2 linked regions of the Caenorhabditis elegans genome follow. The protein of the gene in region 1 purifies or fractionates together with the protein of each later gene. This does not show direct contact. Each region holds a gene or a part of one and is shown on either strand. Other genes may lie near its edges. The genes, in order: Y48G9A.9 and Y57A10A.27.

Evidence for each region.
Region 2: the proteins of Y48G9A.9 (region 1) and Y57A10A.27 fractionate together in Caenorhabditis elegans (co-fractionation; one large-scale study listed by BioGRID). This does not show direct contact.

What each region holds. Positions count from the first base shown.
Region 1 is NC_003281.10:2,093,484-2,100,534, forward strand, and holds Y48G9A.9 (Protein-tyrosine phosphatase), read left to right. Parts: upstream 1-2,268; 5' UTR 2,269-2,278; coding exon 2,279-2,413; intron 2,414-2,501; coding exon 2,502-2,673; intron 2,674-3,628; coding exon 3,629-3,830; intron 3,831-4,567; coding exon 4,568-4,783; intron 4,784-5,021; coding exon 5,022-5,205; intron 5,206-5,974; coding exon 5,975-6,151; 3' UTR 6,152-6,393; downstream 6,394-7,051.
Region 2 is NC_003280.10:12,268,849-12,277,201, reverse strand, and holds Y57A10A.27 (Armadillo repeat-containing protein 4), read left to right. Parts: upstream 1-2,157; 5' UTR 2,158-2,158; coding exon 2,159-2,427; intron 2,428-3,568; coding exon 3,569-4,060; intron 4,061-5,760; coding exon 5,761-6,046; intron 6,047-7,082; coding exon 7,083-7,202; 3' UTR 7,203-7,390; downstream 7,391-8,353. Other genes in the region: tric-1B.2 (Trimeric intracellular cation channel type 1B.2), read left to right, coding at 629-773.

The sequences.
Region 1 (7,051 bases):
TGTCAATTTTAAAATTTTACTGTTTTTTCTACTGTTTTTAGCTTTTTTTTCTTGAAAATAACAAAAAATGTTATTATTAACGTTCATTTAAAATTATTTACAAAAAAAAAGAAAAAATGTTCAGAAAAAAATGTCCAAAAAACTTTTTTTTCCCCAAAAGTTCCAATACTCTCCAAAATCCTCCCCAATGCTCCAAATCATGAAAAAGAGCATTTCATGATGTAGATCTCCACGTACTGATGTCTTAATAAACCTGTCAAGTGAGTGGTATGGGTCACCCCACTTAACACACAAACCTCCCCCGTCCGCCTCTCAAATGTACACATAACGTTCATTTTCTTGGTTTTTTGAGCAAAAAGTGAAAAGAGATATTCTTGGAAATTTTGAAATTTTATTGTTCTGTGCGACTTCGCACGTTTTAGTTATGATAACTTTTCGGAAAAAAAATTTCCGAAAAAAACTTTTTTTTGAACGTTTTTCAATTTTTTTTAGTTTGTATTTTGTAGAATTTTGTGAAAATTTTTATTTCAAAAAATACATTTGAAATATTTTACACAGTTTAATTAAAAAACTTGTTGAAAATCTCAAAAACTGACAAAGTTACGAACTTTTGAAATTTTCACGAAAAAAAATTTTTTTTTGAAAGTTGGGTCCCGCCACGAAAGCTCGTAGCGCACTGTAGTTTTGATGTATTTTGTTGTTTAATAATTTTTATTAAATTTTTCAAAAATTTAACTAAATTCAAAAACAAAAATCAGCTGAAAATCTTAAAAACTGGCAAAGTTACGAATTTTTGAAAAATCACAAAAAACAATTTTTTGAAAATTGGGTCCCACCACGAAAACTCTTGGTGTATCGTAGGTTTACGGCTAAACAAATTTGTTTGATTTTTTCCAAATTTGTAAATGTTTTACCTAAATTTTGAAACAAAAATTAACTAAAAATCTCAAAAACTGACAAAGTTATGAATTTTTGAAAGTCACATAAAAAATCTTTTTTTGAAAATTGGGTCCCGCCACAACTTTTTGGTTACTGTAGTTTCTGAGGTTTTTTTGTATTTTTTAAATTTTTTCAATTTAATCAGTAGTTGTAGTTGAGCTATATATTAAAACAAGAATCATTAAAAAATATCAAAAACTGACCAAGTTATGAATTGTTTAAATTTTTGAAATTTTTTTTTGCAAAAAATTCACAACTTATTCAAATTTTCTATATATAGCTAATTTTTGCTGTAAAATTCAGAAAATCCACTCAAAAATTTATGGAAAATTAATTTTCTGTCGTTGTGCTCAAACACTACAGTAACCCAAGATTTTTCGTGGCGGGACCCCACAAAAAAAATTTCCAAAAAAAAAAATTATTTTTAGAAATTATTTTTCTAAATTATTATACGTTCGTGGTTTATTTTGGGGGGGCACACAAACCAACAATAGCAAATAATAGATAAAGTGCGTCAAGTGTTGTTGAACATCGATATCCCCTCAGGCACACTTATCCCCTCTCACTCACTTGCCACCTAAAAATATCTATTTTCTGACCACTTGTTCCGTTTTCTCTGCACTTTTTTTTGTGATTTTTTGGGGTTACTGTAGTTATAGAAATAATCAAAAACCTGAGAAAAAGTTTTGGGAAAAGTTTTGAAAATTTTGGAAAATTTTTTTTTTTTGAAAAATATTATTTTTTTCTATTTTTTTTCACAATATTCACTTTTTTTTATTTTTTAACTAAAATTTTGAATTTCTGATTTTCAGACGTTCAAAATAACCCCCATCATTCCCAGGTTCTGGCGATTTTGAGTTTTTGGGTCTCACCACGCTGGGTACTGTAGCTATGGTTTCAGCTGTGTCGGAACTCAAGTTCAGCTGAAACTAGGCATGATGGGTGTTATTTTAAAGGTCTCGGTGCGGTGAACCCAAAAAAATAATTTTTAAAAAGTTTAGTTTAAAATTCACGGGAATATTTTGAAATTAGATATTTTAGGCAAAAAATCAATTCAAATTTTTCGAAAATTCGTAACTTTGTGAGTTTTTGAGGTTTTCAGATGGTTTTTGTCTTAAAATGTGGGAAATTGCTGGCTTCAACTTTACAAAAATGTCAGTTAGGTCAATTTAAATCCCTAAAAATAAAAACAAAGTCTTGAAAAAATATCCGAAAAAATTTCAAAAAAAAATTTTCTTCAAGATGTTTTCTATCATTTTTGAGTTGTTTTTTCTTTTTTCTTTTTTTCTTTGAAACCGTTATAATTCCAAAATTCGCTCCAAAATTTTCAGAAATTAAAATGCGCTGTAGATTCTCACGTGGCAGAATCAAGGCAGTCTCGTCGGTGCCACGTGGCACACCAATTTATCAGTTTTTTGAGGCTCCGGATGCAAACAATAATTACGATGAAAATGAGCACAAAATTTATAAAAAAGTTTGAGATTTTTTTTGGGAAAAAATTAAATTTTTGAAAAAAAAATTTTCGGACAAAATTTTTTTTTGATAAAAAATTGAATTTTCAGACAGATGATCACCACAGAAAGTATGTAGAAACTCTGAACAACTTTATAATTGCCACTGAAAAGCTGGGAATCGAAGGTTTGGCGAAACAGTACCGGAAACTCGATGCCCAGCAGGACTCCTCACTAACTTTTGAGGCTTTTAAGCAGAATATGCACAAAAATCGATATTCAGGTGAGTTGAAAGTTTAAAATTTGAGTTTGGCGTGAAAAGAGCTTTCAAACAAGTATAATCATGCCAGGGTTCTGAAAAAAAAAAATTTTCGGAAATTTTTAAAATTTCGAGGTCTCGCCGCGAAAAGTCCTGACTTTTTCCTGACTTTCATTTTGGGCACAAATTAGGTTATTGTATTTTTCTTCGACAATATAAATATTAATGTAATTTTTAAACAAAAAATTAGCCGCAAATCTCGAAAATTGGTGGAGTTACGGATTTTCGAAAATTTTCGAATTTTTTGAAAAATTTTTAAATTTAAAAAACCACCAAAAATGTGGTTTTTTGGAGCCGATACAGTTTTGAAACTGCGATTTCTGGATCTTTCCCGCCATTAGCTTCAATTTGACCGCCAAATTCTCCAGGCCACGCCCACTTTTGAGAGTACTGTAGTTTAACGTGGTGGAGCCCAACTTTGACGGAACCTAGTCATGATGGGTGTCATTTTGAAGGTCTCAAAGCGATAATTTTGAATTTTCACATGTTTTATTTGCTGAGGCGGAAATTACAAAAATAAGTTTTTAAAATTTTCGAAAAACAATTTTTCCAATTTTTTAAAAATTCATAACTTTGTCAGTTTTGAAGATTTTAACTTGATTTTTAGCTTAAAATGTGCGTGAAATATTTTTCTGCTGGATTAAATTGCACATTTTATAACACTTCAAAAAAGTGTTTGCAAATAAATTTTTGAAAAATTTTTTTCTTTAATATTTTTTTTTTAATTTTTCAAAAATTCATAGCTCGGTCAGTTTTCAAGGTTTTGGCCTGATTTTCAGCTCAAAATGTGCGCAAAATATTAATGTGTTTGAAAAAATACAAAAAACCATAAGCTAACAAAATTCGTTAAAGAAAATATATTCGAAAAGATGTTTTTTTTTGTTGAAAATTTAAATTTTTTCAAAAAGTCAATTTTCAGACGTGGTATGTCGCGACACTACACGAGTAAAGCTGACAATTGACAAAAGTCGATATGAGGATTATATTCATGCAAATTACGTAAAAACCAATTACCTGAGGAACACATTTATCTGCACACAAGGACCCCTTCAGCACACAATTATCGATTTTTGGAGGATGATTTTTCAGGAGAGAGCTGAGAGCATTTTGATGCTCTGCAAGTGAGTTTGGAAATTTTGAGAGCTTTCAGAAAAGCATAAACTCGATGGTTTTTGAAAAAAAAAATTTAATTTGGAACAAAATTTCAAAAAAAAATTGTTCTATGTTTTCAAAAAAAAATCTAATTGTTCCGAATTTGAAAACCAATCAATAATTCAAACTCTACTCATTGAGCCCTTCAAAATGACCCCCATATTGCCTATAATCCGACAACTTTCAAAATTTTTGGGTCTCACCACGAAGACCATCTGGGTTACTGTAGTTATGTGCTTTTTGTGGGTTTTCAGATTTTTTAGCGTTAGTTCATTTTTTTTTTTGCAAATTTTTTGTCTAAAATAAGGCGGAAATCTTTAAAACAAGCAAAGTTATGGTTTTTCGAAAATTTACGATTTTTCTTCGAAAATTATATTTTAAACTACAGTAACTCGTTGAAAATCGTGTCGAGATCCTTGGTTGGGTCCCGCAACGAAGGATACTGTAGTTTTCGTGGCGGGACCCGAACCTAGTCATGATTATACTTATTTTGAAGGTCTCATTGAGCTAAAAATAGAAATTTGAAAGTTTGCGTGTAAAAATCGACATGTATAAATCAAAAATTATAAAAGAAATTAGAATTTTCGAAATTTTTCGAAAATCCATAACTTTTCCAATTTTCCACATTTTTTGATGGTGTTTGTTTTAAAATTTGCGCAGTTCCTCGCACTACCCGAGAAAAATATTAAAAAATCAATAACTCCAGAACAATGGAAGAGGGCCGCCCGAAATGCGTCGGCTACTGGCCATCACTTGGCGTAACAGAAACATACGGGTGCATACGTGTCACAAATATGGGCGAATCGTCCGATGAATTTGAAATTTGCAATTTAGCAGTGACATTTGTGCCTGACAATGTGCCGGTCGATGAGCAGCCCGCAAATTTGAAGGAGCTCAGAGTTAACCTGATTAAATGGCCAAAGTGAGTTAATTTTTTGGAAAATTTTGAAGAAATTAGGGAAAACACACGAAAAATCGATAATTTCAGCGAAAACGCTGAGAAAAATCGATCATTTAGCACAAATTTACACAATTTTCCGAAAAATCAATAAAGCAAAAAAATTATCGATTTTGAAGGAAATTATTGATTTTTTTTTTGAATTTTTTTTTTTTGGAAAATTGACATTTTTCTTCAAATTTCACAACTTTCTTTCTTGCAGTTGGCCGGACCGCGGTGTGCCCGACGAAAAATGTCATACAGTACCCCAGCGGCTGTTGGCTCAGGTGCGGCACGGCCCTTGTGTGGTACATTGCTCCGCCGGGATTGGAAGGACCGGTTGTGTAGTTGCTCTGGAATTCGCTTATAATAAATTGGATAGAGGACTGAAAGTAGACTTTGAGGAGGTAAGGATTTGAGGGAAAATTCGAAAATTCTTGAAAAAAAAATTTTGTTTTGGATTTTTTTCTTACAATTTCGGATTTCAAGAAACATGATGGAGATTTGTTATCAGTTCCCGGAAGCGTTTAAAATGACCCCCATCATGACCAGGTTCCGACGATTTTGAGTTTTCGGGTCCCGCCACGCTGGGTACTGTAGCTATGGTTTCAGCTGTGTCGGAACTCAATTTCAGCGGAAACTGGGCATGTTGGGTGTCATTTAAAAGGCATTGATAGGCTGAATTCTATTTTACTCTCAAAAATTTTTTAAAAAATCCTTAAAAAATAAAATTTAGAGAAAAATGCTTTTTTTTTTTTGAAAATTTAAAGAAAAGTTTTTTTTTCGAATTTTTACTTTTGCAAACTAATTTTTGAAAATTTGAATCTAGCTCACCGAGACCTTTAAAATGACCCCCATCATGACCAGGTTCCGACGATTTTAAGTTTTTGGGTCCCGCCACGCTGGGTACTGTAGCTATGGTTTCGGCTGTGTCTAAACTTAAAATAGACGGAACCTAGGCATGTTGGGGGTCATTCTGAAGCCACGAAGTGCTGAACTTTAATTTTTTAACTTTAAAGTAGTAGTTGTGGCCTAAAAAATTTTGCCCGGGTTTTCTAGGCCACCAATTTCAAATCGCCGTAACTTGGCTTAAAATCGATATTTTTGAATTCTGAAAAATCCCATCGATTTATTGATTTTTCGTCTATCAATTAATTTTTTAAATTTTAATTTCAGATCATAACAGAACTCCGAAAACAGCGCGCCCAATGCATTCAAACAGAAATTCAATACCTCTACATCCATCGTGTCATGATTGCCTTCGCACGCGGGGAGACGGACGTTTCGGAGAAGGCTTTGGCAGCTGCCGACGCATTTTTGAAGTCTTATGATGAACATTTGAAGAAAATTTGAATATTTCTTGCCGTAAAAAATTTTTTTTGAAAATTTTTTTTTTTTTTGAAAATTTTTTTAAAATTTTTTCGAAAAATAATTTTTTAATATTTCTATTTTATCGATTATTTCTCCAGACTTTTTATTGATTTTTGCAAAAACCGGTGTCCCATTTTCCCCCAAAACGCTTTTATATCAATTCTCAGAGCCCCCATTATTGATTTTTGGTACTTTTCCGCTAGTCAAATGAATTTTTCCTTATTTTTCCAATTTTTTCCAAATTTTTTTCAGATTCTTTATTACAGATCAACCATGTGATAAATGTGTCAGTCAGTCACTTGCCACATTTTTTTTTCAAAAATTTTGATAAGAATTCCGGTGATAAGGAGGGGTTCTAGTGTAGTTTTGATGAAAAACTGTCATTTTTTAATGTTTCGTGACTAATTGGGTGCAGTTCGACTCGGTTTTGACGTTTTTCCTAATTATTTTTGAATCAAAACCGTATAAATTAGGTTGTGTACCTTTAAAATTGTCATGTTCGCTTCGAAACCCACTTTTTTCACACTTTTCTAATAATATTTGAATTCAGCACACTGAGACCTTCAAAATAAGTATAATCATGACTAGGTTTGAGTCCCGCCACGAAAAGTACAGTACCCTTCGTTGCGGGACCCAATTTTCGCGGAGAGACCCCAAAATGACGGAGCCTAGCCGATATGGGGCTTGTTTGAAAGCTCTGGAAACGCTGATTTTGAAAGTTCAAATTTCAAGGGTCTCGAAACGATATTCACCAAGTTATGGTAGTTTTAATGTAGAATTTTTTGGAAAAAAATCGAAAATTTTCGAAAATCCATAACTTTGTTAATTTTCAAGTTTTAAAATTGGTTTTAGTCTCAAAAATTTGGAAATTTTACTGAAAAT
Region 2 (8,353 bases), on another chromosome or scaffold:
AAAAAACTTGCAAAAATGTGATTTTTCGTTGCATTTTTCATATGAAAATTTGATGAAAAATCTGAAAATAATACAATTTTAGCTCGAAAAGGCGCTTTTTTTGAATAAAATCATTGAAAAATCTAGCAAAAATGCAAAATTTGGACCTAAAAATCGAAATTTTTAAAACGAAATATCTCAAAAATGCGATTTTTCGTATTAAAAAAATGTACAATTTTAACTTAAAGTTGTAGTTTTTGAGGAAAAATGTCAGGAAATCTCATTTGTTTTGCTCAAAAGCCACGAAAAATCGCATTTTTATATGAAAATTCAATAAAAAATCGAAAATTTGCGTTTTCCGAGCAAAAAAAGCCTGAAAATATTACAATTTTTGCTCGAAAAATACGAAAAAAAAAATCGTAGTTTTTGGTGCAAAAATTCAACTCAAAAACCATAAAAAATTGCATTTTTCATATGAAAATTCGGAAGAAATTTCGAAAATATTACATTTTTAGCTCGAAAAATTGCATTTTTCATGTGAAAAATGCTCTAAAATATTAATTTTTGGCCTAAAAATCTGAATTTTAGCTCAATTTTTCCACTTTTCCCCCCAAAAAATCCATTTTTAACCAAAAATTTTCCATTCCAGAGCCGTCGACGCCACAAAAAAAGCCATACACAGTAATCGTGTACTATCCGAGGAGGAAATTCTGTCAAAAGAGCGGGAAAAAGTGCTGAAAAAGAAGAAGCTGCTCGCCCAAATGTCCAATGGCACGGATAAAAAGAATAATTGATCTTTCTTTAAAAAATAATTTCTGTGAATTTTCATATTAATCCCCTCGTTTAAAAAGAGCCAAAGGCTCATTTTTTCCCTATTAATTTTTAATTTTTTTGCAGTTTTATCACCCCACTTGCCATCCAAAACTCGCCGCTTTATCCATGTTTCTAGTCACTAAAAATTTATAGAAATTAGCAGAAATTTCTGAAAAAATCGCAGAAATTTGCTGTAAAATTTTGGAAAAAATTCGGAAAATTCTGAGAATTGGAGCATTTTTTTCCCGAAATTTTTATGAAAAATTGGGAAATTTCAGCTAATTTTTTTCAAAAACTAGTCAAAAAATTTTACAGCATTTTTCTTTTTTTTACCCCGTCTAGATTCCCATTTACTCTTTAAACAAATATTTTTATTTTCTAACAATTTTTCCAAATTTTCTCCCCATTTCTCTCGGCCGGGTACTAACATTTTACTTGAAGTATTACGTTTTTTTTGTTTAAATAATTTTATTTTTTATTTTTTAGAGCGATTTTTTATTGTAATTTTTTTTGACATTCAGTTTTTGAAACTGTTTTATATTTTAATTTTAATTTGCGAAATTTTCAGATTTTTTTCCGAAAATTTCGCTGAAAAATTTAAAAAAAATTATTCAAAAAATTGGAATTTTCCCGAATTTTTAGAAAAAAAATTTGAAATGTTTTCATTTTTTTTTAATTTTTTAAAAATTCAAAAAAAAATCAGATTTTTAGAAGTGATTTTTTAAAAAATCTCAAAAAAATTTATTTTTCTGATATTCCTCCAATTTATTCCAAAAAATTTAATCCAAAATTATCAAAAAAAATATTTTAAAATTCGAAATTTTTGATTTTACCAAAAAAAAAAATGTTGCACTTTTTTTTTGAAAAAATTGCAATTTTTTGGAATTTTCAAGAAAATTCCAATGAAAAATTCCTTTTTTAAAAATTTTTTAAGTAAAAAATCACAAAAAATTCAAATTTACTCCGATTTTCTCGAGAAAATAAAAAAAATTCGAATTTTTCTTCAAAAAAATCCGAAAATTGGAATTATCCCGAATTTTTGGCTGAAAAGGTTGACAATTTTTTGAAAAAATTGCAGAAAAATTGGAATTTTCAAGACAATTCCATTAAAAAATTCCCTTTTCTATAGAAAATCACAAAAAAATTCAAATTTACTCAAATCCCTTCTTATTAAATTTAAAAAATTTCCGAAAATTGGAATTTATTGAGAACATTGCAACAAAACTTTGCAATATTTTTTCGAATTTTTCAAAAAGAAAATCCGAATTTTTAGCTGAAAATTTAAACATTTTTGAAAAAAAAAACCCCCCCAATTTTTATAATTTTTCACTAGAAAATCTGAAAAAAACCCAAAAAAATTTCCAGAATGCACCTGTCGCTTGATCTCAACGATTTCCTAAAAGTCGACCTCACCCGGCTCGCCGAGGACGACGAAACACACCAAAAGAGCACAAAAAAGCACACAGAACTGCTCATCGAGCTCATCGATCGGAAATCGACAAAAGCTTCAGCTCTCGCGAGAAAAGTGATCCGTTGGCCAATTGGACAGACTCTTCCAACTCAAATTGCTTATAATAATGGAGATGAGCAACTTTTGATTGTTGGACCAACTTCTGAAGCTCTTCTTCCAATGCCGTACGGTTTTAGTGGCTAGAATTTGGAATTCGGACAAAAATTTGGGATTTTAGCAAGAAAATTTCAATTTTTTCATAGAAAACTGTAGAAAAATCAATTTTTAAAATTAAAAAAAAAAAGTAAAAGTCCGAAAAAAAATTCTCTCGGAAAATTCTACAATTTCTAATTATCCGGGAAAAACCCTTCTAGAAGTCGAAAAATTTAAAAAAAATAGAGAAATTTTCAACAAAAAAAAGGTTTTCAGCAAATTTTGAATCTGAAAAAAAAATGAGGTGTCATGAAAAGTTTGAAAATTCCAAAAAAAAATCCGAAAAAACGGACAAAAAACCATTTTTTTTACAAAAAATAGAGTGAAAAATGCGAATTTTTCGATAAAAAATTCTAAAATTAAAAGTTAATTTTCCAGAAAAAATCACAAAAAATGTATTTAAAATTACTAAAAACCTTCTAAAACCTCCAATTTTGTTTTGCATTAAAAAAAAGAGATTTGATTTTCCTGAAAAAATTATAAAAATTTCAATTTTTATTGCAATTTCCAAAAAACATTTTTAAAGCCAATTTTGAGTCAAAAAAAAAAATTTAAAAAATCAAAAAAATGGAGTGAAAAATGCTAATTTTTCGATAAAAAACCCAAAAAATTTCCAATTTTTTCGGAAAAAAAGCTTTTATCGAAAAACCCGAAATTAAATTTTTAAAAAATTCGATTTTCAGTGAATTTTTAATCCGAAAAATGTTCCAAAAAATACTAAAATCTCATTTTATTACAGCAAATCAAAAAAAAAATTGTTTTTACACAAAATAGGTATAATTTTTCTAGGAAAATCGAGAAAACTGTAAATTTTTTAGCCAATTTTGAGGCAAAAAAAAGAAGTAAATGAAGTAAAAATGCAAATTTTTCGATTTTTATTAAAAAAGTTACTTTTTTAGAAAAAAAAAAACAAAAAAGCTCGATTTTCGACCATTTTTGAATCTAAAAATCACAAAAAATTGTATGAATTTCTTTCAAAAACTGTCTAAACTCGATTTTAAGCCAATTTTTTGAATAAAAAAAAATAAAAATTTAAATTTTCTTCAGAAAATGTAGTGAAAAATGCTAATTTTTCGACATAAAAATCACATAAGACCTCAAAATTTCTTTCAGAAAATCAAAAATCGACGCTCTAACAGCGACAGCCATCGCGAAATCGGGTCCCACCACGAAAACGAAAACGTTCAGCTCATTTGCCGTCAATCCAATCGATACATTTGACACGAAATCTCTATTAAAATCAATTCAAAATTGTATTGAAAATCCGGAAAAAGAGAAAAGATGGAAGCAGCTGAGCTCGAAACTTGACGAAGAATGCTCCAATGGAGAAGCTGCTGGAGCTCTTTCGGCTGTTGAGCAGTCTCAATTGCTCACCGCAATCCGCCGCTACACGGATGACGTGGATTCGGAGCCCGAGACGCTTCATGTGGTGCTCAAAGCGATTGCCACGTCGAGAGTGCTCTCTTTTCGAAATGAGGACGGTTTTTTGAGAATGTGCATTGAGAAGCTGAAGAGCAATACGGAAATTGTGGAGCATGTGCTCGCCGATGGAGCACGTGTTGTGTCGGAATTTATTTTGGCTGAATTGTTGAAGCTTGCTGCTGGGTATGGAGATGACTATGAGCAAAAAATTTAAAAAAAAAAGAAGCAATTTTTCCTATGAAAATACGTACAATTTTCACCTAAATTCGTAGTTTTTCGAGCAAAAATTGCGAAAATCTCACTTTTTTTTGCTCAAAAGCCACGAAAAATAGCATTTTCCTTAGAAAAATTTGAAAATATTCGAAAATGTACGTTTTCCGAGCAAAAAAGTCTGAAAATATTATAGTTTCAGCTCGAACAATCGCATTTTTCGAATGAAAAAGCGCAAAAATCGTCGTTTTTTCGTGCAAAAAATGCGAAAATATCACCTTTTTTTTTTGCTCAAAAGCCACGAAAAATAGCATTTTGCATAGAAAAATTTGAAAAAAATACCAATTTCAGCTCGGTAGCTTCGAAAATTTTCGTTTTCCGAGCAAAAAAGTCTGAAAATATTACAATTTCAGCTCGTAAAGTCGCATTTTTTTTAAATAAAATTTATGAAAATTCTTAGTTTTTCGAGAGAAAAATCCACGAAAATTGCATTTTTCGTATGAAAATTTACAGAAAAAATTTAAAAATTGGTGTTTTTTCGATCTGAAAACACCAACAAAAAAAAACTGAAAACTTTCTGGAAAAAAGAAAAATATCGCATCAAAAATTGCCTTTTTTTTTGAGAAAATCCAGAAAAATAAGTTTTTTTTTCGATTTTCTCTGAAAAAGAGAAAAATTTTTTGGCTGTTTTTCCATATAAAATCCAAAAAAACAAAAATTTTACTATTTTTTATAAAAATATAAAATCGGATATTTTCCAGATTTTTTAATTGTGTTTTTTCAAAGAAAGTTTTAAAAAAGGGCATTTTTGAAAGGTTATTCCTGCTTTTTTTCAATTTTCTCTGAAATCAACAACAAAAAACGGAAAAATGTTTAATTTTCTCAGAAAACAAATTCAAATAAATGGTGTTTTTTCGATCTGAAAAACAGCAAAAAAAAAGTGAAAATTTTCTGGAAAAACAGAAAATAACCTACCGAAAATTTTGCGTTTTTTCCATATAAAATCTTTAAAAAAAAGGAAATTTTTTAAAATTATTTTTCGTGTTTTTTTTTCAATTTTCTCTGAAAACCACAAAAAAAAAAACGAAAAAATGTTTAATTTTTTTCTGAAAACAAATTCAAATAAATGGTGTTTTTTCGATCTAAAAAACGCTTTAAAAACTGAATATTTTCTGGAAAAAAGAAAAAATCGTACCAAACATTTTTTCTTTTTCATATTAAATCCGAAAAAAAAAACATATTTTTCTTGAATTGAACTAAATTGGATTTCGGAAAACGAGAAATTTATGAATTTTTAATTTTTAATTTTCTGTTTTTTTTTTCGATTTTCTCTGAAAAACGCCGAAAAAATGAACATTTTCCGGAAAAAAAGAATAAATCTAACAAAAGGCTTAACGTTTTTAAGAAAAAATTAAAAAAAAAAAAAATTTTCCGGAAAATTTTACGATTTTTTGAAAAAAAATATTGATATTTTCAGATTTTTTGTTAAAAAAAAATCAAAAATTCCGAAATTCTCGAAAATTGGCTGTAATTTAATCTAAATTTGACAGAAAATTATCGAAAAATTATCGTTAAAAATACGAAAAAAAAATTCAAAATTAGTCGAATTTTGTCAATTTTTCTCGAAAAAATTAAAAATAAAAAAAACTAAAAAACTAAGCTTTTTTTTCCAGAAAACCGTCCGAATCCGAGCGCCGAGCCCAAGTGAGCCAAGTTCTTGCCCGTAACTTCTCTAAAATTCCAATGACCGAAGCTTGCGGAGCCGTGCTCTCCGTCACCGAATCCATCGAAATTATGACAATTCTCACTGAAATCTACCGTGAATCACCGGATATTTCCATCAGTTCAAAAGCTCTCACACTGATTACTGTACTTATGGATGCACATGGTTCACGTATTGTATATGAGGATAAACTTCATCACAAATTCGCTGCGATCAGCAATTTTATTATTGAAATGGTACGGAAAGTGCTGGAAAAAGTGATTTTCCGCTGAAAAATTGGCCAATTTTAGGCTTAAAACGATGAAAAATGTGAAATTTTGAAGGAAAAGCCATAAAAATGTGGAAAAAATAAATTGAAAACGACTTTTTTTTTCTGAATTTTCCGTTTAAAAAACTGACTACAAATTCAAATTTCTCAGAAAAATTTGGCGGGACTTCAAATTTTAGTTTTATTGAAAAAAAAATTAGAAAATTTATTTTCAAAAAAAAAATCAAAAAATCTCCGATTATTAAAGAAAAAAAAAGAAAATTGTAGAAAAATCAATTTTTTCAGCAGAAAATTTATCTAAAATTCGAAAAAAAAGTGGAAAAATTGCAATTTTCTTTGAAATCCGAGAATAAAATTGTTCGATAAAAATTCGAATTTTGATGATTTTTTTTTTGGAAATTTTCCCGAAATTTCTACAAAAAAAATTGAGCAATTTCTTTCAAAATTTTCTACTAAATTGTTCAGAATTCAGTGATTTTCGGGGTTTTGGCGCGAAATTTGAATTTTATTAAAAAAAATTTTTTTTTAATTCTCCGAAAAAAATTCTTATTTTCGCCAATTTTCAAGAAAAAAATTTTTTTTCTTAAATTCAAAAAAATTGAATTTTTCAGGAAATATAATCTTTTTTTAACACGAAAAAATTGCGAATTTCAGAAAAACATTTTTTTCAAATTTCCCAAAAAAAACACTGAATTAATATTTTTCAACAATATAATTTTTTTCACAATATTTCTGAAAAATTACTAATTTTTTTGTAAATTTTTGAATTCCCGCCGGCAGAATTTACTGATTTTTTCAAAAAAATTTCAGTTAAAATCGATAAATTAGCTGATTTCAGATTAATTTTTTTGCCGAAAATTGTCTGAAAATTTTACGAAAAAAAAAAATTTATATTGCAAAATTGAAAAAAAAAATCATAAAAAATTTAGCGTTTTTCAAATTTTTTAAAAACTAATTTTCATATCATTTTCTATAATTTAAATCTATTTTTTCTATTTTTCCAGCAATCCCTAGTCGGAACCTTCGCTCGACTTGAAGCTGCAATCGACGAGTGCTCGGATACCCAGGCAGCGAATAATGTTGTGATTCGTATGCATCCAGTGGCTCATCCCATTAATTGGTAGAAGAAAATTCGATTTTTCTGTTTTTTTTTCAAAAAAATTGGCTAATTTTGTGATTTTTAGCAATTTTCTGAAAAAATCGTTTTTTTTTTCTCATTTTTAAATTGTTTTCCTTGTTGATTTGTTGTTATTCATTTTGTTCTGGAAATTTTGAATTTTACCTCATTTTTTAAATAAAAAAATCTGCGAAATTCTGAACTTCTTTTGTTGAATATCCGGATTGCTTCCAATTTTTTATTTTTATTTTTCTCCATTTTTTTTTTGATTTTTTTTTTGTAATTTTCGGTTTTTTCCAGGAACTTGGAAAACGCCATGCGAGGGATTCAAGGATTCACGAAAAGGTAATAATTTTTTTACGAAAAAAATGCTTTTTTGAGTGCTCAAAATTGGTTAGATGAAATTTATTAAATAAAAATATGGGAAATTTTTATTTAAAAAATTTAAAAAAATTTAATTTCCAAAAATTTCAGCGATTTTTGAAAAACAAATTGTTTTTAGCTCTAAAGCTCGATTTTTACCCTGAAAATTATTATTTTTTTGATTGAAAATTTCCGTAATTTCAAAAAAAAAATTTAGAGTTCAAAAATGGTTGAATTTCAATTTTATCATCAAATTTTTATAACAAAACTTGCTTTTTTGAGTAAAAAAAAACTAGATTTTCACTGAAAAATTCCCAAAAATCCAGTTAAAAAGTTGCCAAAATCCGCCCACACCTGTTCAGCAACATTTTTTCTTTAGTTTTCTTCAATTTTTTCCTCCTCGTTCTCATTTCCCGGGGGTTCGGCACCGCCGGAAAAATTAGTGTTATTCTCTTTCTCATCTCCTCTTCCTACTCACTCACTTAGAGCTTAACAACATCTGTCGTAGGCGCTTCCCGCCTCCGGCGGGAGGCTTGCAACCGATAGCCCCGCCGGGCGGCTCCGAGAGCTCCGAGATCAGTGTAAAGGCAGATCTCTCTCTCTCTCTCTCTCTCTCTCTCTCTCTCTCTCTCTCTCTCTCTCTCTCTCTCTCTCTCTCTCTCTCTCTTTCTCTCTTTCTCTCTATTCGACTCGGCTCATTGGCAGAGCATTGATATCATTGGCTCTTTACGAAACACACACACAATAAATACAGATATCGGTTTTTTTGTTTACTTTTTCGTTTTTTTTTTTTTT